4 linked regions of the Sus scrofa genome follow. Each later gene encodes a partner of the first gene's protein in a complex. Links are inferred from orthologs where the notes say so. Each region holds a gene or a part of one and is shown in the gene's direction. Other genes may lie near its edges.

Region 1 (5,555 bases):
TGTGGTGTAGGCCATCAGCTACAGTTTCAATTAAACCCCCAGCCTGGGCACTTCCATATGCCCCAGGTGCAGCCCTAAAAAGACAAAAAAAAAAAAAAGAATGCAAACGGTCTTTAGCATTAACCCTCCACCTGCTAATCTAACTGGAATGATGGGTGCAGAGCTAAGAACAGCTCACGATAAAAGAGGGATTTAATACGGTATCACAATAGTATTCAGATGCTTTTGACAAACTGGGTCTCTCACTTTGTGAAGTAAGCCATTAACCTTGGAGTTAAGCTGCCAAGTTCCTTTTGGAAAGCAACTGCTTCCTCCTGTCCCCTGTTCCTTCCTCATCTCACCCTTCAAAGCTGCCTTTTCTCATTGTAGAAGAGGGGCACTCTTCAATTCCAGGGTACTCCGTAAGAAATGGAGCAGAGATGAGCCCCCCAGACACCAGAACTTGATACCATACGCCCCGCCCTAGCGCCTGGGCAGGAAAACGGCAGAAAAGGACTAGGGGCTGAGCACTAACGGGTGTCTGTCTAGAAAGCAACCCTCCTAGGTTTGCTTTGGAAAGCAGACTGGCCTTGAGGTCGGAAGTGCAGCTCCCAGACCAACCTGCCTAACAAAGAGTTATCTGGTTAGGGGTTGAGCCTTCCATTCACAAACCGCGCTCAGGAGAAAAAACATTTTTAAGAGTATATTCTACTTCTCTAGGATATAAAGTCAAGAAAAAGACAAAATGTGATTCCTGGTGCCAGAATAAGGAAGCAACTTCGGGAACACGTTCCGTAGAGGGGGCCGCTCGCACCTACCTCCGCAGGTGGAGCGCATCAACGCTGCGCCTCTCCCGAGGGCTGCTCGGGGTCTCGGGCTTACACGCCCCAGCTTCGGGCAGGGCCCATTAACTTAATGAACTGAGGGGAAAATATTCCCGAGAAGCTCCACTACTTGAATTTATTTGGGGTAGCCCCAAGCTCCCAAGCTTTAGAAACTTTTTCCCGCCGGCCTTCCAGACATTTCTCGCGCTAAAAGCAGCGGGGCAGAACCAATGAAAATCAAAGGAAAGGGAGGCGGGGGAGTAAGAAACTTCCCTTACGGGGGACTCCCTGGGCTCACACCCCCGCCGGCAGTACCCTGCCCGCGGCCCCCGAGAGTCACCTGAACCCCGCGCTCCTGGCGGCTTCTCCCGCGCTCCCGGGGGCCCAGAAGTCGCCGCCAATCCGCGGGCGCCGAGCCAGGAGGCCGAGCCAGTACTGCTGCAGGAGCCGGCCGCGTCCAGTCGCCATGGAGACCCAGCTGGAGCACCAGCAGCGCCCTCCTCCTTCCTACCGTCGCACCGCCCAGGGTCACGCCCACTCGACGCCAGCGCACGCCCCGACGTGCGTACGCAACGGAGGGGCGGGGTCAAGAACCACACCGCCTTTCCACTCGGAGTGGTTCTAGGAACGTATGGGGCCCGGTTTCTAGCAACTGCTGGAAGTCCTGACGCCTAGCAAGTGTATCGCCTGGACTTTACGGCGGCTACGCCCTTGCCCCTCCCCCTTGCTGACTCTGGCACTTTGCGGCTGCTTCCTGTCTGATTTCCTTGGAGAAACAAATACAAAGGCTGTGACACTTGGCCTTAAGGAAAGGCATAGCCACAGTCACACCGAGAACTTCCCAGTTTACATAGCCCTCTTTAGAGGGTTGTAAGAACTTGCAGTTTCTAATTGCTAACTTGACCTTCCTAGGTGCGTTTTGTGCTACGCAGAGCAGGGAGCCCCGCCCACCGTCCCAACATGGTCTCGCCTTTCTGTCGCGCCCAGTACGTGCGGTGTGTGCGCAGGCGGCCACGCAGAGGAGCTTGGGAGGCAGCCTTGGACTGTGGGAGATGTAGGCCTAAGGCCACTGCCCTTGCAGCAACTCTGTGAGGGGTGCTGCCCTCAAACTACAATTCCCAGGATTCTTAGGGGCTTCCTAGGTTACTTTGCAAAGGCCTGGCGGGGACAATGTGAATGTCAGCATAGAAAGTAATGAAAGCACATTAATTCAAGTAAAAAGAGGGCCGGAGAGAAGGGAAAGTGGACGTCAGCTCCTTTACGGAGACTTTTTGTCTTGATTTATGCTCCTTGTTTTTTTTTTTTTGCCGGACACGCAGTGCAGAACTACCGATGTGAATGCGGACTTAAGTCCGCCTCTGGCCGGGTGTGGAGTTGGTAGTGAAGATTTGCTCATCTTAGCTGGCATCTTCCCTCAGCGGAGCGGCTTTCTGTGAACATGATTTGTACCTTACTACGAGCTGTACGGTGCACGGGAAAGCTGCACAGCTTCTCGGGGAAGCAGTTGTTTTTGCCACACTTTGTACTTAACAAAGCTTGCTTGAAGACTGTGCCCAGTTTGAGGTGGGCTCTGCAAGAGCAGAAGACGGTACGACCTAGGTGTATTTGGGGAGTCACCCAGAAGACCATCTGGACGCAAGGACAGAGCACGCAGAGAGCGAAAGAGGACAGCGACAAACAAGTGTCTGTGCACAGAAGTCAGGGCGGGGATACTGCCGTCTCAACGTCACAGAAAGGTAAAAAGGAATTCCCTGTAACTATCAGTCTTTCAGCCAACGTGACGAGAGCTGCTACTGCCCTTCTACACAAGTTCAGTGCTGAGCATAAACAGCTTACACAAATTAAAAGGTAGAACCATTACACAGTTAAGAATTAGAGCATATGAGCCTACAGGTCTTTTCACAAATTCGAACTGAAATATGAAAGTTGATTTTGATAAAACTTAGTTGAATTGTGTCTGTAAATTTTTTCTCAACTTTTACTTGTGGAAAGAACTATGTAAAACTTAACCGTTGTTTAATACTTTACAATAGATAAGTACATTTCCCAGATGTTATTTCATCTCATTTGAGTCTCACATTTACTCTTTCAGACGTTAGTATTCATTAGTATGTACGAAGCATATTTGCCCAATTTCACACAATTCAAAATTGAATGTGAGTCTTCCTTATCCTCAGTTTTCTAATATCCAGGCCAGTGCTTTTTAAAACAACCACCCCTGTGTCTTTAGTCTTTGATAACACTGTCTCTGCCATTCTCTCTTAGATGTGATACTGTTTTTGATTTACTATCTTGGTCAGTGGGAGGCAGTTTCAGAGGCTTCCATTGGATTTTTCCCATTATAGTAGCTCTTAACCCACCTCCAAAGGAAGTAAAGAAGGGCCTGTTGTTGCCAATTACCACGCATATCCATTCCATTTCTACATTGGAAATCAGGGAAATGACTATCAGAGAAGGCGGTGGACCCAGCTATGAACCTCTTCCAGGCCAGGCTCTTTATCACATTGCCACCATAATGACTCTTTAGGGTTGATGTCAGCTCAGACTCTGTCTGGCAGACCTTGAAATGTTTGGGTAGTCCCCTTTCCCAGCATGCAGTTAATGGCATAGGTCTCTGATGAAGGGCCAGGGGAATCATATATAGTTACTCAGGTGCCCCCTGATAGAGGTTGGCCTCCCTTGGGTAAATGGATTCCAGGTCTGAAGACTGACTCAGGTCGAGAAACCAAGCCATTCATTGTGATGGTTGCTTCCCCCTGGCTTCACTACCATAGCTGCCCCCATGGCTTTCAGGACAGCTTGTTCTGTGACAATGTGAACGGTGGTTTCCAGACCCTTCTACATGACAGTCAGCTGGTGGGTTTCTGCCTCTGTCCTCTCTTGCAGACCCACTCTCTGTGACTTTTGATCATTTCCTACACAGTTTTCCATGGCAGTTCTGTTATTTTTGCTTCACTTAAGGTAGACCATGCTCTCTCCATCTTTCTAAGAGCGAGCCTAGCTGTGCATCTGCTCCCAGCCCGCTTGTCAGACTTTAGTTTCTAATCTGAGGAGCGTGCTCCCTTATTGATCAAGTCTCACTTTTCCCGTTCTGTATTCTTTGCCCCTTCATGATGCCCTTCATTCTGTGTCTCCTGGCTCTGCTGGTGGAGCCTCCAGCCTGTTTAGGAGTGGCTCATGTCCTCCTTCCCCTAGTTATGTTGCAGCCTGCCTAGAGCATAGGTCTTGCTAGATGGAAGCCCCAACCAGGTCTTCAAAGAAGAGGAAGAGCTAGCCTTTCCCTGGGAGGTGAGAGCTGCTGCTTCACACTGGAGGGTTCAGGAGAATCTGCAGATTCAAGATTTGAGATGCATCAGCCTCGATACACCACTGCCAAGCTTCAGGTTCCTTCCCAAGTCATGACCCTGGCCTCGGTGTGGGAAAGCTGGTGGGATTGAAAGTCCAGCCTCTCTGCTACTCTTTAGCCTGGGCCTTGCCCTCAGTGTTTTCTGCTCTCTGGGTGCAACGAATGAGTCTCTGGTTTTGCTCTCAAGGAGGCCTCTGCCTTTTACACTTGACCTTCATTAGTGATCAGTTACCTTTGTCTTCTTTCTTCAGTGTATTGGTGGCCCTCAACTACAGCCATCCAATCTGAGCCCTTCCAATTGCTTATTTCTCCTAAATTCCCAAAATATGACACCCACTAGGGCATTCCCTCCCACCAGTTTCCCAGGTCATCTGTGAGAGGCGAGACAGTTGTGCTATCACTGCTTGCCACCAGGGGTGGAGTCCTCAAGGCCAGCCGGCAGCCAGTGATGCAGCTCCAAAATCCCAATTTGGAGCACCTTCCCAGGACCACTCCTGCAGGCCCCACCGTAGGGCGAGTTCCAAGGAAGCCAACTCTGTACAGTTCGTCAGCGGGAGGTTTGAGGGCGTGTTTTCAGAATGCCTCTGTGAGGGCGAGGGAGGCAGGACTGGGCAGAAGGAGAAGCTGAAGCACAGGGTGTTTGCCTCAGCTGTTTCTGCAGGAGCTCAGGAACTGGGCTGGCCCTTGAAGTCCTCATCTCCAGGGGTGGGGGGCATCCACACCAGCCAAGCACTGGATATGGGCAGCGCCAGGGCTTTGGTGAGCAGGCTCTCTTCAGGTGCAGGAATTCCGTCAGCCAGCCAGCAGCCCGAGGGACTCCCCATGCTGGGGGAATGAGAGCCTCGGTCCTGAGAGGAGCATGTGGGTGCTCACCATAGCACCCCTAATTGCAGAGACAGATGGCACAAGGGTTTTGTATGAAAGTGTAGAGTCTGAAAGGGTCAAGGAGAGGAAGTAGGCAAAGAGCAGCTTCCACTGAAGACAACTATGAAATAACACTTAAGCTTTAAAAATGTGTGGATGGTGGGCTTTACATAGAATATATACAGTAGACATTTGTGGTTGAATTAATGGGGAAGAGGCCTCCCGGAAAGTCTAAGTGAGGCAGCAGTGACTGTGCTGGGAGGGCAGCCTCGCCATGACATGAGCCTTGCTCAGTGACTGTGTGGATCAGGCCCATGAACTACACATATTTTGGCAGATGCAATCTTTTTGTTATTTGAATCGCATCTTTTTAGTTAGGAATCCATACTGAAAGCTGGAAGGATTGCACTGTGCTAAAGAGTACTCTTAAATAAGTGTTATTTCAGAGTTCCCTTCATGGCTCAGTGGTTAACAAACCCAACTAGGAACCATGAGGATGCGAGTTCAATCCCTGGCCTCACTCAGTGGATTAAGGATCCAGC
Region 2 (5,826 bases), on another chromosome or scaffold:
GCCACTCCAGGCCACAGCCACAGCGACACAGGATCCAAGCCCCACCTGAGACCTACACTGAAGCTCATGGCAATGCCAGATCCTTAACCCACTGAGTGAGGCCAGGGGTTGAACCCGCGTCCTCATAGATACTAACTAGGTTTGTTAACTACTGAGCCATGACGGAAACTCCCCGCTATCCAAACCTATTTGGACAAAATTAGTTTGAACAGCAAAGGTTTTATCTAAAAACGTCCAAATTCATTCAGTTCTCCAGCTTGGCAAATAGGGAGTTTCTGATTCTAGTATATTGAGTAGCAAGTTTGGAGAGCAAGGCATTTATCCAAACACTGCTCTGAATATATTCAGCTCCTGAGACCTGCAACTGTTTTCAGTTACTATCAACAGAATAAAAAAGGTGTATGAGTGGGGGTTCCCATTGTGGCTCAGCAATAACGAACCCGACTAGCATCCACGAGGACGAAGGTTTGATCCCTGGCCCTGCTCAGTGGGTTAAGAATCTGGCACTGCTGTGAGCTGTGGTGTAAGTCACAGATGCAGCTCGGATCTGGCATTGCTGTGGCTGTGGCATAGGCCAGCGGCTACAGATCTGATTCGACCCCTAGCCCGGGAACTTTCATATGCCGTGGGTGTGGCCATAAAAAGACCAAACATTTTAAAAAAGGTACATGAGTACCTGGACCTCAGTTGGCCGATCACAGGTTTCAACTGTGTATACAGCTAACAATGAAATGTCTATTTCAGCAATAACATAGTGCCTGTCACACAATAGGTCCAAAATAGATCATCAGCTATAATCATTAGTGTTGTTAGTAAGAAACGTACCACGGGCACAAGGCCCGGTATTCAGTAAGCTTAAAATAAATATCAATGACCATTATCCGTATTATTAACCAAAGATCTATGCTTGGCACACAACAAACCTGTAATAGATGTCACCTGTCAATAAAGTGAAAATGAGTTTTCCAGTACACGGCCACACCTTAGCCCAAAATAGATGCCAACTTTTACTGTAATGACAGTAAGGTATAAATACTGGCAACGGCAGCACAGCAGGCCAAAATGACAGATCCTATCATTATCCTTGTTTTGTTTTTTGTTTTTTTGCCTTTTCTTGGGCCGCTCCCGCGGCATATGGAAGTTCCCAGGCTAAGGGTCCAATCGGAGCTGAGCTGCCAGCCTACGCCAGAGCCACAGCAACGCCAGATCCGAGCCGCGTCTGCGACCTACACCACAGCTCACGGCAACGCTGGATCCTTAATCCACTGAGCAAGGCCAGGGATCGAACCCGCAACCTCATGGTTCCTAGTCGGACTCGTTAACCACTGCGCCACGACAGGAACTCCCCTACCATTATTTTACATACTGTAAACCATAATGCATATGCCAGCCACTTAAGCAGACCCGAAATACATGTCAGTTATTGAACTGGTGAACAAGTCGGTATATATCGCCTGAACAGTACCTGGCTCTACAGTAGATCTGAAAAAAATGTTACCTACTAGTATGGTAAAGAACAAAATATCAGCCTCCTCCCACTGTATTTGGTCCAAAAGAGGCTGTAATAGATGTCAGTTTACTATTAATATCCTTAGATACTCTTCCAGGGATCGATTGGATTAAATCTGGCGTATGAAGATCCAAGATAAGCATCAGCTGTCAGTATTAGGTACGACTAAAGCTGAAATGTCTATTCCCTGCCCCACCCCCACCGTAGGCGTCCGCGCGCACGCGGTAGGAATCGGCGTCAGGAATACGTATTGTTTACAACAAAATGTCTGCCAGCCCACTGCTTGGTATATAGTAGGCCCATACTAGGGATCGAGTGGCAATATCAACAACAAAGTGCCTGTCAAGCCTGGCACATGGTAGGCCCATCTGCTCTTAGCTCTCTCACCGGGCTCGAGATGTTTGAGGATGCCTCTCTTGGCCAAGCGGGTCTGCAACGCAACGGGCAGCGGCATAGCGGGTAGCAGACAGACCTAGGGAAGGACAGACGAGAAAGCAGTTCAGATAAGGATTTGAATCTGGAGCTCGTAAGCAAGCGCCTCTCCCCAACATGCACTCATCTAGACTCCCACCTACCCACCTGCACCAGGAGCTGGGCAACAGAACCTACCCGCTAAAAGGTGGAAGGGATAAACGGCAGTATCACCGAAATTCTCGCCAACTCTCCTCTCCAGGCGGGGTGCTCCGGGACAGGACTCCTCTCCCAGGCCTCCTCTCCCAGGCCTAGGCTCCACCCATCGCCGAAGGGGCCAAGCGCCGCTCCCCCGCGCCCCAGAAATGGGCTCACCCAACGTCCCCCAAAGACTGCCGGGTGGAAGGAACCAAGGAGCAGGGGTGGGGGGAGCAGGGTTTCCTCTAGCTCCAAAAAATGCGCCCACCCCGACATTACCAATACAGTCACGCGGGTTGCGGAAGGCTGTCAGACTGTCGGCCTCTCTCTCGACGCCTTTATGATCGCCAGGACCACGACTCTTTTTCTCCTGAGGGAAAGAATGAGGCCCTCTCTCCCTGAGCCAGAGGTAACTGGGCGACGCTCGGGCTGCAGAGAACAGATGACGGAAACCTAACTGGCCAATGAGAGTGCGCCTTGGCCTGACGTCTGGCGAAAGGACCCAATCATTACCTTGGAATAGGTGGAAAGCTCGGGCGCCTGTGTGCGTTTACAGTGGGGGTGTGGCCCGGCCGGGATTTAGCCAGACTGCGCGGCCGGACGCCGGCGCCATGGAGGAGTACGCTCGGGAGCCTTGGTACGGCGAGGGGCACAGGCCTCGGGACTCTTGCTGCGGCGCCACGGCCAGCGGTGGGAGGCGGGCGGGGGAGGCGCTGGCTACACAGCGCCACGTCCCAGACTCGGGAGACTTTTAAACGTTTGTTGTCTCCTTCCGCTCCCGTCCACTTGTTTCCTTACTTGGGCTCCGTTAAGAGGGGCCACAACTGTGTGCTTGAAGGAGCTGGTGCGGTGCAGGACGAACCACTCCACGTTTCCCTTGACTCTTGTCCCCGGTCCCTCTTGTTAACGGAAAGAGACACGTTGGTCGAATCCATTCCAGCCGGGGGGTGGTGTGTTGCTAGGCGGAAATCCCCAGGGTTACCGCGCGTGGTTTTTCCCAGGTCCCTTTGGTGAATGGAGGCGGGGCTTGGGTGAGCCCACTGTGGGCAAGGAGGGGGTGTCGGATCGTCCCCACGGTCTGCAGCTAGGTTTTTCCTCCCTCGTGCAAGGTGAAGAAAGGGAAGAGCGTGGCTGGACGAGCTCATTGTCGGAGGAGGGGGTGCGACCCCCGTTGTACTTTACAGTGCCAGCTTGTTAACACTTCCGTAGCGCTTATTTAAACGTGCCCACTCTTTGCTTGCAATCAAGTCATTTAATCTTTGCTAGCAGTAAACCAGTTGGCTGTGAAGGAGAGGGGCGGACAAGGGCAACGACTAATGTTTTTCCCCCTTCCGCACTGTTTCTTTGCGAGAATATGGAGGAAAATACCCTCTTTATTATTTGAAGTGCTGCTCCCCATTTGAGTGACGTAGTTTCTCCCAGCTGGAAAGTGTCCTTGTGACATAAAATGGGGGAGGGCTCACATTAACCCTATCCTCCCCTTCCCGCTTGCAGCCCATGGCGAATTGTGGATGATTGCGGTGGAGCCTTCACTATGGGTGTTATCGGCGGTGGAGTCTTCCAGGCCATTAAGGGCTTCCGCAATGCCCCTGTCGTGAGTCCTGACCTTCCTTGGGTGGTGCGGGGGTCTTGCCCCGCCCACATGGGAAAACCGCTTGGAGTGCCAGTCACGGGCACTTAATCATTCTGGTGCCTGCCCACCTACTGTGTGCCAGGCCTGGTTCCACGATCTGGGAGTTTGGGGGAACTGCATACATGACCTCTGCCCCTCACCCCCCACCCAACTGGAGCTCCTCTTTGGAAATGCTGTGCTGTCAAAAGGTTTTGTCATCACAAAACTTAAAGGTGTGTGTGCAAAGCCAGACAGATGTTACCTAAAGACAGACTCTGGGTTGGAAGCCTGGCTAGAGGGAAGTGATAGGAGTTTAATTGGCAGGAGGAGGACAGCCTTAAAATTGACAATATGCTTTTAATTGAACATACTCAATTCTGTCTCTCTGAACAACTCCCCCCTCCCCCTTCCTGAGAGATCTCATCAAATGTATGACTTTTTGGGTTTTTTGGTCTTTTAGGGCCGTACCTGCAGCATGTGGAAGTTCCCAAGCTAGGGGTCGAATTGGAGCTACAGCTGCCGGCCACAGCCACAGCCACAGCCACGCGGGATCTGAGCCACGGTTGCGACCTACACCACAGCTCAGGGCCACGCTGGATCCTTAACCCACTGAGCAAGGCCAGGGATCACGCCCGAGTCCTCATGGATACTGGTTGGGTTCATTATCGCTGAGCCACAACAGGAACTCCTCAAATGTCATGACTTGAAATGCCATTTAATGTCAGAGTCTCTGCAATTTCTCTCTCTAGCCCTGTCCCTCTCCCACCTTCTGGAACTCTCTTTTCTGGATCTTTGCCCGACTCTCTCCCTCTCTTCCTCAGGGTCTCAGCCCCCAACCCCAAAGAGGCCTTTACTGACTGCTCAGCCACTCTCAGATCTCTTCATCCTATTATCTCTATTACCTGCGGCTGTCTGAAGCTATCTGGTTCACCTGTGCCCTTGTTCAGGATCTGTTCCTCCTATACTGTGAACTCTGAGAGGGTAGGAGCCAGGTCTACCGTGTTCACTGCTGGAACCCTGCTTATGGCATGGGGGCCTGGCACACTGGTGCTCAGTAACTACTGAATAAGTGAATGAATGAATGAGTAACATCTCAGGCCACTTATGTGGGGGTGCTCCCTAGCCCTCCTAGTTCTTGGCCACTGCTCCACATCTCTACCCCTGACACCCCTACTACCTTTCCAGCCCCAGTGCCTCTCCTAAAAGCTAGAAACCTTGTCTGCCGTGGACCTCAACCCTGCTCTGACTCCCGTCCTCCTCACTTTCCTCCAGGGAATCCGGCACCGATTGAGAGGCAGCGTCAACGCTGTGAGGATCCGAGCCCCTCAGATTGGAGGTGCGAGGTTTGGGGAGACAAAAGAGGTGTGATAACAAAGTTGGGGGTGGCTGCTCCTTTGAGTCTAGAATGCACATCGGGGGTCCAGATTCTAGCCACAACTCTGCCTGGCTGAGAATTCCTGGGGGAATTTTTTTTTTTTTTTGGTTTTTTACGGCCACACCAGCCTATGTAAGATCTCAAGCAAGGCCAGAGATCTAACCCATATCCTCATGGATACTAGGCTGGTTCTTAACCCACTGAGCCCTGCATTTCTTTTTTATTTTATTTTATTTTTTTTTTTGTCTTTTTGCTATTTCTTTGGGCCGCTCCCGCGGCATATGGAGGTTCCCAGGCTAGGGGTCGAATTGGAGCTGTAGCCACTGGCCTACACCAGAGCCACAGCAACGCGGGATCTGAGCCACGTCTGCAACCTACACCACAGCTCACAGCAACGCCGGATTGTTAACCCACTGAGCAAGGGCAGGGACCGAACCCGCAACCTCATGGTTCCTAGTTGGATTCGTTAACCACTGCGCCACAACGGGAACTCCCCGGAATAATTTATTTATTTATTTATTTATTTTTGTCTTTTTAGGACCACATCCAGGGCATGTGGAGGTTCCCAGGCTAGGGGTCAAATTGGAGCTGTGGCCACTGGCCTATGCCACAGCCACAGCAACATGGGACCCAAGCTGTGTTTGCTGCGTGTCACAGCAATGCCGGATCCTTGACCCACTGAGCGGGGCCAGGGATCGAAACTGTGTCCTCATGGATGCT
Region 3 (5,695 bases), on another chromosome or scaffold:
CTCCTGGCTCTCCTTCTGCTGTACTCTCTCCATGCTCAGTATCTACATCGTGGTCCCCAGCATCCCTTCAAGAGCTGCATCCCTTCAAGTTCAAATCCAGCCTTCTAGTAGTTAGGATAGATTGTGGTTAGCTCAGTTTGGGTCACATGGCCAGGAGGATGCAGCCCCACTGGACAATCAGGCCTGGGTCCAGTGCCAGACAATCCCGTGATGAGTGGGGGAGCTTGGTCAGGCTTGGTTAAATGCTTAACCCTGAGAGCTGGGAGAGAGTAAAAATAGGGTGCATGGGAACCCCAGTTTTCTTCACAGATTGAGAATGGGAGAGGAGTGGTTTGCCAAAAGATAGTTGGGGTATTATTAATAGAAAAAGAAGTGGATGCTGGGAGGCTAAAATGACAAATGTGCAGTATACCTGAGTTTTTACATCACATGATATAAAGCAGGCATCGCAGCTTCCCTCTTTGCTATAAAGTCTTCTATCCTCACCCTAACAAGCTCCTGTAAGCACCCGAGGAGCAGTTATCTCACCTACAGTCATCTGTCTTCCTCCTCTGAACTTCTGCAGCCCCCAAGACTCCATCACTCATCAGCAACAGGCTGTGTCGGGTCATTAGCTGTCTTTTTATGTATATGTCCTGTCCCTCCATCCACATGACAGGATCCTGGAGAGCAAGGGTCATGTCTTATTCATCTTTGTGTCCCCCGTGGCACTTTGCCTGATGTTTGGGGCACAGCGGACAGTCCATAAATCTGCTGACAGATTGAATACCTGATTTATATGCTTCTGGAACCACAGAGGTACATAGTAGCTTGACTCAACTACAAAACTACAAAGAAAAGAGGAAACCTGTGACCTCCACACCATTTCCGAAAGATCGTAAATCTTTTCTGCACTAAATAATGATGCTGGGGTCAAGATTTGTTCCCCAGCCCCCAGCTGCTGGTATCATTCTTATTTAAAAACGATTGAGTGAAAGCCCAGGGAATCTTAGTCTCAGCTGTCCAGTACCGCTGGGTGGGTCATATACTGACACAGCCCCCCCCCAGAAACATGAAGGATGGCAATCACAGGAAGAGGAAGCAGATCTGTCCTCAGTGGCTTCCACCCCAGGCAACAAGGCAGAGCCCCAAGGTCCCATTAGTAGAACTGGCTGCTGGCTCCCTGCCCTGCACGGATCTCTATTCCCCATCCTCATTCGTAATCCTGACATCCAACAAAGGGAAGAGGGAGAGAGGAGAGCATGGAAGATCAGAGTCAGAAAAGATTTACTTGTAGTTTGGATGTTGCAATAATATTCCTCCCAAGCTAGCCTTGGTTCAGAAGCCCCTGCTGGCCATCCAGGGTCAGGCGATTTGCATTTGTCTCTAATCCCCTCAAACCGCCCTTAAGGCCAAGCAACTTGTTTAAATCATGCAGCCAAGACAGGATTTCCTCATCTGTAAAAGATATGTGGATTAAATCAATGAGCCCTAGAGAGCATCCACCTCTTGGTGGAGTCATGAAAATCAAACCAGTGGTGGAAGAAGGAAGTTTGGTTGGTAAAGGAGGGAGTGGTAACGAGGTCAGAAGAGTGTGGGTGGAGCGGCTGAGAGGTGAACCCGGTTTAGGGCAGGGGGCGGAACTGAGATCAAGAGCAATAAAAGCTCCACTCTCCATTCTCCCAGCTGGCGCTCGCCCTCCGGAGCCAGGCAGCCAGGCGCTGCCAGGCACCGCCCGGAGGCGGTGCGTGGGGTTACACGCCTCGCCCCTTCCTCCCCTAGTCCCACCCCCGCCCCAGCCCCACCCCCTGCCCTAGCCCCACCCAGTCCTAAGCCCCGCCTTCGGTGCCACCCTTGACCCAACCTCTTCCCGCCCCTGTTCCGCCTCCTAGCCCCGCCCACAAGGCCCGGAAGCAAAAGCCGTTTCTCCACTTCCCAGCCGGGTCACGACCCAGCGGGCAGGAGCCAGGATTGCGAGAGCTCGGTGTCCTCAGCGGGTCAGCGAAGGCCCGGTTCAGAGCCATGTCCACGAATCTGCGCACCGCGCTCATTTTTGGTGGCTTCATCACCCTGATCGGCGCCGCCTTCTACCCCATCTACTTCCGGCCCCTAATGCGGCTGGAGGAGTACCGTGAGTGACCTCTGACCACCACGCGGTGCCCTGGTCCCAGTGACTCCCTCTCTTTCCCCATCCTCTCCACGTGGGGCCTTGGGCAGAGCTTGGCTCGCGAGTCAGGGAGACCTGGGTTCGAATCCTTTGTGTGCAGCTTTGTGACCGTGGACAAGTGACTCCACCTCTTGGGCCCTCACTATCTTCATCAGTAGTTATGTGTTTCTGTAGTATCTTAAAATAAAACCGTCTAGCCTCTGCTGAGACTCAAAGGCAGTCTGCACGTCGTAGGTCAACACTAAATACGAGTTAATATTCATAGCTAACATTCACTGCAGGCTTCTATGTCTCGTTAATGCACATAGGATCTTTTAATTTACACCTTTTTTTGAGGTACATGTTGCTGTCTTACAGACGGGGAAACTGAGACTCAGGTTGTGTAACATGCCCAAAGTCACACAGCTGTTAGCGGCAAGACACGTATTCCAACCCAGGCCTCTGTCTCCAGAATTTCTTCCTTGTACTGAAGCTGGGAAGGTGATATTGGGGGAGGGAGGTGGGCCCTAATTGTCCTGAACTTGCAGATGTGTTTATTGCACTTCATTTCCGCTCCCAAAGATGTCTTTGATCAGAAATGTCTCAGAGCTAAACTGTTAACCTGAGGTTTTGGGTTTTTCCTCTTCTTTCTCCTCAAATCTTCCTTCAGATTCTGCTATCTTCCTTCATTTTAAGCTGGTTACTCACATGACAATGGTGAATATCCTGGGAGTAATTTTCTTCCTTAATCATTCCAGTCCTATCATTCTAAAAGCCACACTCCCCTTCCTTGAGACCTATACCTCAGCAAGGATTAGCACTTTGATACATCTGAAACCATCTGTCAGAGAGAAAATATTAGGCATTAGAGGCTCATTTTGTTCTCCAGGAAACCTGAATCATCTAGAAGATGGAAAAGGGCCAACCTTGCCCCTTGAGAATATCAGTGGAGGCTGTGAGCTTGGTGATTTGAAGGCAAAAGTGCTGTATAAATGCTCTGACCATTACAAATGCTACAACATCTGGTTTCTGAGGCAGAGCGGTTTAAGTACACACTCAAATTTCTTGTAGCTTCTTTTCATCAGTCAAGATTGAAATGGCCTCTGCACCCTGCCTTCCAGCCTATCTATCTACGTGACCACGCGTGACCACGCGTGACCACGCGTGACCACGCGTGACCACGCGTGGGGGTAAACATGGGACCTTGGAAGCCCTGCGTTATCTCTCTGTTTTATCCCTTCTTACTTGGTCCTTGCCCCGGGCTATTGTATTATAGCCCCTAGAGTTGAAGCTGGGACAAGGGAATCTACTTTGGATCCTACTTGAAAAGTTTCAGTTCTGAAGACTAGAGCCGTACCTCTCAACTGGGGATGATTTTTGTCCCCCAGGGGACATTTAGTTCTATCGGGAGACGTTTTTGCTGGTCACAAAATGGGTGGGGTGGGTGGAGTAAGTGTGCTCCTGGCATCTAGTGTATAGAGGCCAGGGTGCTGCTAAACTCTCTGTAATGCACAGGGCAGCCCCCACCCCTTAACAAAGAATTACCCAGCCCAAGATGCGAGTGGTGCCAGTGGTGCTGGGTTGAGAAACCCTTGCTCTAGGGCAGATGATCAAGGTGGGTTTGTGCTGTGTCTCCCAATGACAGTCTTAAAGGAATAGTCCAGGGAGTTCCCATTGTGGCTCAGCTGTTTAAGAACCTAATATCCATGAGAATGAGGGTTTGATCCCTAGCCTTGCTCAGTGGATTAAGGATCCAGCATTGCCACAAGATACAGCATAGGTCGCAGGTGCAGCTCAGATCTGGCACTTGCTGTGGCTGTGCTGTAGGCTGGCAGCTGCAGCTCCAGTTCGACCCCAGCCTGAGAATTTCCATATCTGGCAGGTGCAGCCCTAAAAAAAAAAAGGCGGGATGGGGAGTAGTCCAGAGTCTATGGTTGCCTGAGTCACCTTGAGATAGACAAATGAGGCCTTTAAAGTGAACATTTAGTGCATGTGGCTCCAGTATCTGCATTTTTAACTGTAAGGCATTCTACAGCTGCCTGCTTTTCTGGTTCAATTTTAATTGATTTGAACAACTCTTATCTGAGAGTCATAACTGATTCCTTAAAAAAGTAAATAATACTAAATAGCTAATATTTATTGAAAGCTCTCTTGCAAGCACTTGATATATATTAACCCATTTGGTTTTCATAACAACCCTTTGTGGTAGCTGCTGTGTGACTAGCTCCCTGTTTTATTTTTTAATTCTATTCTATTCTACTCTACTCTAAACTATTTTATTTTTTGTCTTTTCTTTCTTTTTTTAATTTTTTTTGGTCTTTTGTCCTTTTAGGGCCGCGCCCGCAGCATATGGAGGTTCCCAGGCTAGGGGTCTGATCAGAGCTATAACTGCCGGCCTACACCGGTGCCATAGCAACGCAGGATCCGAGCCGTGTCTGCGACCTACACCACAGCTCACAGCAACGCTGGATCCTTAACCCACTGAGCGAGGCCAGGGATCGAACCCACAACCTCCTGGTTCCTAGTCGGATTCGTTAACCACTGCGCCACGATGGGAACTCCCATCATCCCCATTTTATATGTGCACAGACTGAGGTATGGAACAGATAACCTGCATAAGGACCCACAGCCGATGAGTCCCAGACATGGGATTTGAACCAGGGCCCTTAATCGCTTTACCAGGGCACCAGGCCGTCTCTGTAAGAGGGCGAGAAAAGGGGTAAGTCAGATAAGGGCCTAAAATCCCTTACTCAAAGAGGTGAGTTCCTTAACCTCTCTGAGCCCAGCCTGTTTGCTAATCGGTAACAGTGGAATTTGCAGGACTGAATTTACATGTTTGTGGGTGAATTGAATGAGATAACATTTGTGGAAACATAGAAGATAGTCTTATACTAGCACCCCATAAAAACATTTCAGAAACCAGGAGCTGCAAGGGCGGGGAAGTGAGACAAGGAGATTTAAGCAGGTGGACAGACTCGGGTGGGGCATTCGTGGCCAGGTCTTGGGAACCATGTGAGGACAGGGCTTCGGTTCATTTCTGAGCCTCCAGCAGGCATTTTTATTTAGTTTCCTTTCCATTTCTTAAAAAATCTAGATTTTACTTCCTACTGTGTGCCTGGCACTGTGTCAGTTGCCAGATGTATATGACTGGACAAGGCAGTCAGAACTCTTTTCTCCATGTCACTGTCCCCACCTGTGTCCAGTTCCCCTGCCCCCACCCGCTCCCTGCACCCTGAGCTGGTCTCCCTGCTCCCCTGGGCGGGCCCCTGCCACCACCCATTCTCCACCCAGCAGCCACCATGGTCTTTCTGGTTTCTGTGTGGTTGCTGATCTATACCTTCTTTGCCTTTGTGGTCAAAGACTCCAGACTCTATAATTCTGATTCTTCAGTATTGGTCAAGAAGTGCTTTGTGACTCGGTACACGTCAGTCTTTGCAAATGTCCCCCGTGTGCTTGGAATGCCGTATATTGTCCTGTTTTAGGGTGCAGAGTTCTGCATGCGATGGTTCCAGATCAGATGTCTTAATTCTGTGGCTTGGATATCTTGAGGCCATATTATTTGGTGCACAT
Region 4 (5,541 bases), on another chromosome or scaffold:
TATGGGATGGACGGGGTGGGCAAGAGGCCGCAGGGTCACAGCCTCACAGCCTCCAGGCGGCTTCCAAGGGAGGAGCTTCCTTCCCTTGTTTTGTTCAGTTGGGGAAATCGAGCAGCAAAACAGGTCTCAGGGCCACACCTCCTTCAGTCCCCTGGTGGAGCTGTTTTCCACAAAGCAATACTTAGAGGACCTGGGTCTCTGGGGGTCCAGTGCCATCTCATCCTTGGCCCAGAACACCCACTTTCACCAAATAAGCCCTGAAGCATTGGATTACCAGCTCCACTCCACTCCCCCAGACTCAGGGTCAGTTCACTCTCGGGGACCCCAGTCCTTTTGTCTATGAGTCTTGTTGTCATTCCTTTATGTCACTGACCATTCAGCTCTTTTCTTCTAAGATGGAAGGGCTACTTCCAAGGGTGGGGTGACAGCTTTCTCCTCCAGCCAAAGGCTAAGTCCGAGGCCTCCTTGCCCAGCCCCAAAGAACTAGTTTTCAACCCGTCGAGCCACCATGGGAACTCCCTGAAGTGTTTTTAATTACATTCACACATTCCAAATAAGTAAGCCCTCCTGGACGCAGGCATCCAAGTCAGAGGACTGGTTTGAATTGTTGTTTTCACACTTCCAGACTAGCTTTATTTAGTTCTGTGGAGGGTTCAGTTCATTTCACCTTATTTCCAAGATTTGGGGGGGGGAACCTCATTCCCCCTGCAGTTTGCTATTATTTATTACAGAAACTTTTCCATGAAATAAATGTACACACATGTTTTGTTTCGTTGAGGATTTTTTTTTTTTTTTTTTTTTGTCTTTTTAGGGCCACACCCATGGCATATGGAGGTTCCCAGGCTAGGGATCCAATCGGAGCTGTAGCCACCAGCCTATGCCAGAGCCACAGCAACACAGGATCCGAGCCGTATCTGTGACCTACACCACAGCTCAGGGCAACGCCAGATCCTTAACCCACTGAGCGAGGCCAGGGATTGAACCTGCAACCTCTTGGTTACTAGTCGGGTTCTTTAACCACTGAGCCACCAGAGGAACTCTGGACATTTTAAAGTCAATCTCAGATGTTCAGGATGGAGACCTATAGCAGCTGTCACCTGACTGAGGTTTTGCTTTCAGGCCGATGGCCCCCAGCCTTTTGTCTCCTCCTCTGGGCTAAGCCCCCCTTACATCTCCCGGGATCATTTAGAGTGAGGTCCGGAAGAACTCTGTTGTTGCTGTCCCCCATGTTAAGGTCCCCCATGAATCACGGCAGCGCCCCAGGTGTTCACAAACATTCATGGAACGTTCACTACATTCCGGCCCCCCCGAGATAAAATATTCAGGTACTGCCCATCTTAAGGAGCTCCGTGGCAGCAGTGGGGGCCTTACCGACCCGTCGAAGTTGGCAGCAGTAATTCGCACTTGACAGCCGGGTACTAAAACAGAGAAAGTCATTCGGGAGGTTCGAGTTACAACGGCAGTTTTGTTTCGGGCCCCACCAGGCCCCGCAGCTTCAGCTCTGGGTACCTCTCCTCACCTGGGATTCCCCACGCGGCCACCCACACGCACCGCCCCTCCGCCTCGGAGGCCCGCCCCTCTGGTCTGAGCCCCGCCTTCCGCCCCGCGGCCCCGGCTTTCATTGGCTGCGGGAGGAGGTGGCGAGCCAATCCCCGCAGATTCTAACGCCCTCCTCCCGGGATCACTTCCGCCGCCGGGCCAGGCCCCGCCCCGTTTACCCGGCATCGCGGCGCCGCGGAGTCAAGATGGAGGAATACGCGCGCGAGCCCTGGTGAGCCTTCTCGCCGAGCTGCCTGCCTCCCGGCCCGGCTCGGCCCAGCCTGGCTCCCGAGGCGAGACCGCTCAGCGCCAGGCTCGGCGGCGCCGGGGCTATAGGCACGCAGGCGTGAGCGGCCGGCTTCTCAGCCGGTGACCTTGCGGCGACTCGAGGGCGCCCCGGCTCAGCTGTGCAGACGCGGCCCCTGTCCGACCTGCGGGTGGGAAGCAGCCCCTCTGCCCTCCGGCGACCTTGGCTCGTCCTTGTGCCCGCGTGGCTCAGCCTGCGTGGGGAGGGAGCCAGGCCGAGGAGGCCGCTTGGGGGCGAGGGCCGGGCTGGGGACTCTCCCGTGGGGGCGAGGCGTGTGTTCTCGAAAAGCCACCGACGGGAGTCGGTCCATTCGATGTTTTGGGGCAGGGGGCTGCCTGTGCTCCGCAGTCGCTCGGTCCTCAGAAGGAAAGCATGGAGGAGTCCGACCTGCAAAGTTTGAGGCTTCTGGGGTCAGGAGTGAAAATAGAACGTGTTACTTGGGTTAATCACCGGTGCTTTCCATCTGTCGGAAGGGGCCAGGGCTTTCTGTAACGAATCGTGCCAGCAAAAGCCATGTTGCCTGCTTTGTGCTTTTTTTTCCTCCCTGAACTGAGATACAGAGTATTACTTTGCAGAGCCTCCCAGTTCTTTAAATTTCCCTTCTCCAAAGGTGATACCCCTTCCTGGGTTGTACTCAGGTGTGCAGGACTCAGCATACTATACTGCTCATGTCAGGTATGATAGGGCACAAGTTGGCAGGAGGGGAAGTTGTTTCACTTGGTTGTTAGAGGTGTTAGGGAGTGATAGTTGTCATCTACAAACGCATTTAATGGCCCCTTTGTGCTCTCTTACTCCGGATGTTCTGAAGCCGCATGGTCAGTTCAGTTCTCAGGTTGGCTTTGTCCTCAACTGCTTTGATCTTCTGGAAGACCCTGGTCCCTAAGGTCATCCAGGCTCAAACTACAAGCATCTTGCCCTCCCTGCACACCACCCCACCCAGCCCCCTTGCTGTCGTCGGAATTCTTTGAGGACTTGCGCTTTCAGTTCCTGTAGTCAGGACCTTACCTCTGTCCTTAATGCCTTTTACAGAAGCTTCTTTATTGTTTTCCTTCTGTCCTCTTCCTTAAATGTATGATAGGTACTTAATGGTCCTAAATACTTTCTTTTTTTTTTTTTTTGTCTTTTTGTCTTTTCTAGTGCTGCACCCGAAGCATACGGAAGTTCCCAGGCTAGGGGTCCAATCGGAGCCAATCGGAGCCGTAGCTGCTGCCTACGCCACAGCCACCCTAAATACTTTTTAATCATGTTTTCTTTTCAAAAGCCCTTAGTCTATAGGATGTAGTGGAAAGAATTTGGGGGCTTTGGAGTACTAGATTTTGTATTTAAATTGGTTCTACTAGGTTTTTTTTTTGTTTGGTTGGTTTTTTTTTTTTGTTTTTTAGGGTCGCACCCATGGCATATGGAGGTTCCCAGGCAAGGGGTCAAATTGGAGCTACAGCTGCCTGCCTACGCCACAACAATTCGGGATCCGAACCATGTCTGTGACCTACACCACAGCTCATGGCAACACCGGATCCCTAACCCACTGAGTGAGGCCAGGGATGGAACCCCTAGTTGGATTTGTTTCTGCTGGGCCATGACAGGAACGACTAGGTTTTTTGTTGTTGTTGTTTGTTTGTTTTTTGGGATTTTTTGGGGGTTTTTTTTTGGTCTTTTTAGGGCTGAACCTGCAGCATATGGAAGTTCCCAGGCTAGGGGTCGAATTGGAGCTGCAGCTGCCGGCCCACACCTCAGCTCACGGCAACACCAGATCCTTAACCCTCTGAGCAAGGCCAGGGATTGAACCCACATCCTCATGGATACTAGTTGGGTTTGTTAACCAGTGAGCCACGACGGGAACTCCTAGGTATTTTTTATTTGACCTTGGGCAAGTTACCTAATCTCTGAGTCCCTGTTCATCTGTAAAATGGAGAGGAGACAAATACTCTTTTGCAAAGTTAAAAGATAGGGATTCTATAAGAAAATAATCTAGCTTTCTTGAAAGTCCGAAAGGTACCTACAGTGTAGTTGATGACTTTTAATCTTGGTATGATTGGTTATTGGTTCTTGTTGCCCTGTATTTGCCTAGCATTTGCTTTTTTTTTCTTCCAGTTTTCTTTTTTTGGCATTTTTGTCTTTCCTAAGGCCGCATCTGAGGCATGTGGAGGTTCCCAGGCTAGGGGTCCAATCGGAGCTACAGCTGCGCACCTACACAGCAGCCACAGCAACACCAGATCTGAGCTGCGTCTGTGACCTACACCACAGCTCACGGCAACACCGGATCCTTGACCCACTGAGCAAGGCCAGGGATCGAACCTGCAACCTCATGGTTCCTAGTCGGATTCGTTAACCACTAAGCCATGACGGGAACTTCCTAGCATTTGCTTTTAGAATCTGGCTTCACCCTTCCTTTGGTGTAGACCATCAGTTCCCTGCAGGCACATTTGGATTTAGCCAGGCTTTGTTCAGAAACTTTCCGTCTTGCCTTTGTTTGGGACATCCTGTCCGAATACTGTGGCTGCTCTGATCTGAATCCTTTTTTTTTTTTTTTTTTTTTAATGGCCTCACCTGAGGCCTATGGACGTTCCTGGGCCAGGGATTGAATCTGAGCTGTAGTTGTGTCAATGCTGGGTCCTTAACCCACTGCACAGGGCAGGGTATCAAACCAGCACCACTGAGACAATGCTGAATCCTTAAGCTGCTGTGCCACAGCAGGAATTCCTGGCTCCTGCTAGTCTTCATTTCTTAAATGCTGATTTATTTCTGTTCTGATTAGAGGATCATTTAGGTTAGATTGTTTAAAGTTAGTGACTCTCCTCTGTCTTTCCGCCCTTTTTTTTTTTTTTGTCTTTTTGCCATTTCTTGGGCAGCTCCCGGGGCATATGGAGGTTTCCAGGCTAGGGGTCTAATGGGAGCTGTAGCCACCTGCCTACACCGAGCAACGTGGGATCTGAGCTGCATCTGCAACCTACACCACAGCTCACGGCAACGCCAGATCCTTAACCCACGGAGCAAGGCCAGGGATCGAACCTGCAACCTCATGGTTCCTAGTCGGATTCGTTAACCACTGAGCCACGACGGAAACTCCCTGTCTTTCCTCTTTTCTACCTGTTAATGTTTCTACTATTTTGAGGGAATTTTCCTAATCCTTTTTAGTGAGGTCAGGTCACCTGTGGATTGTGTTAAACTGTAGACTGATTCAGGAGGTCCCAAGAGCCTGCAGTTCTGGCAGCTCCCAGGTATTTGTTGCTGGTTGTGTTTTCAGAACCACGGAAGCAACCAAAGCATCAGTCTGACAGTTGGAATATCTGCTGCACGAGGTTGTCACTCTGTACCAGCTTCTGACCTGTATTAGACTTGGGAAGGATAAGGGTGTTTTTTTTTTTTTTAATTTTTCTTTTTTTTTTTTTTAATGTTTTAGGGCCGTACTTGCCACATATGGAAGTTCTCAGGCTAGGGGTCAAATCAGAGCTACAGCTGCTAGTCTACACCACAGCCACAGCAACGCTGGATCTGAGCCGTGTCTGCAGCCTGCACCACAGCTCATGGCAATGCCGGATCCTTAACCCACTGAGCGAGGCCAGGGATTGAACCCACATCCTCATGGATGCTAGTCAGATTTGTGTCCGCTGAGCCACAATAGGAACTCTGATAAGGTGTTTTGACTTCAAGGTTTTGTTCTGGCAAAGTCAGAAATTACTTGTTGTTTGGATTCT

What was found.
Region 2: TIMM21 (region 1) and TIMM17B share a complex: the UniProt entries of both Homo sapiens proteins name them as parts of the TIM23 complex. The link is inferred for Sus scrofa from reciprocal best matches to the Homo sapiens genes TIMM21 and TIMM17B.
Region 3: TIMM21 (region 1) and SMIM20 share a complex: the UniProt entries of both Homo sapiens proteins name them as parts of the MITRAC (mitochondrial translation regulation assembly intermediate of cytochrome c oxidase complex) complex. The link is inferred for Sus scrofa from reciprocal best matches to the Homo sapiens genes TIMM21 and SMIM20.
Region 4: TIMM21 (region 1) and TIMM17A share a complex: the UniProt entries of both Homo sapiens proteins name them as parts of the TIM23 complex. The link is inferred for Sus scrofa from reciprocal best matches to the Homo sapiens genes TIMM21 and TIMM17A.

The regions. Positions count from the first base shown.
Region 1 is NC_010443.5:149,852,257-149,857,811, reverse strand, and holds the start of TIMM21 (mitochondrial import inner membrane translocase subunit Tim21), read left to right. Parts: upstream 1-1,908; 5' UTR 1,909-2,241; coding exon 2,242-2,539; intron 2,540-5,555. Other genes in the region: FBXO15 (F-box only protein 15), read right to left, coding at 1,144-1,271. UniProt on the Homo sapiens protein: Participates in the translocation of transit peptide-containing proteins across the mitochondrial inner membrane.
Region 2 is NC_010461.5:42,972,803-42,978,628, reverse strand, and holds the start of TIMM17B (mitochondrial import inner membrane translocase subunit Tim17-B), read left to right. Parts: upstream 1-2,341; 5' UTR 2,342-2,583; coding exon 2,584-2,756; intron 2,757-3,613; coding exon 3,614-3,713; intron 3,714-5,003; coding exon 5,004-5,067; intron 5,068-5,826. Other genes in the region: PQBP1 (polyglutamine-binding protein 1), read right to left, coding at 1,898-1,964. UniProt on the Homo sapiens protein: Essential component of the TIM23 complex, a complex that mediates the translocation of transit peptide-containing proteins across the mitochondrial inner membrane.
Region 3 is NC_010450.4:19,699,158-19,704,852, forward strand, and holds the start of SMIM20 (small integral membrane protein 20), read left to right. Parts: upstream 1-1,884; 5' UTR 1,885-2,001; coding exon 2,002-2,110; intron 2,111-5,695.
Region 4 is NC_010452.4:24,198,655-24,204,195, forward strand, and holds the start of TIMM17A (mitochondrial import inner membrane translocase subunit Tim17-A), read left to right. Parts: upstream 1-1,690; 5' UTR 1,691-1,745; coding exon 1,746-1,771; intron 1,772-5,541. UniProt on the Homo sapiens protein: Essential component of the TIM23 complex, a complex that mediates the translocation of transit peptide-containing proteins across the mitochondrial inner membrane.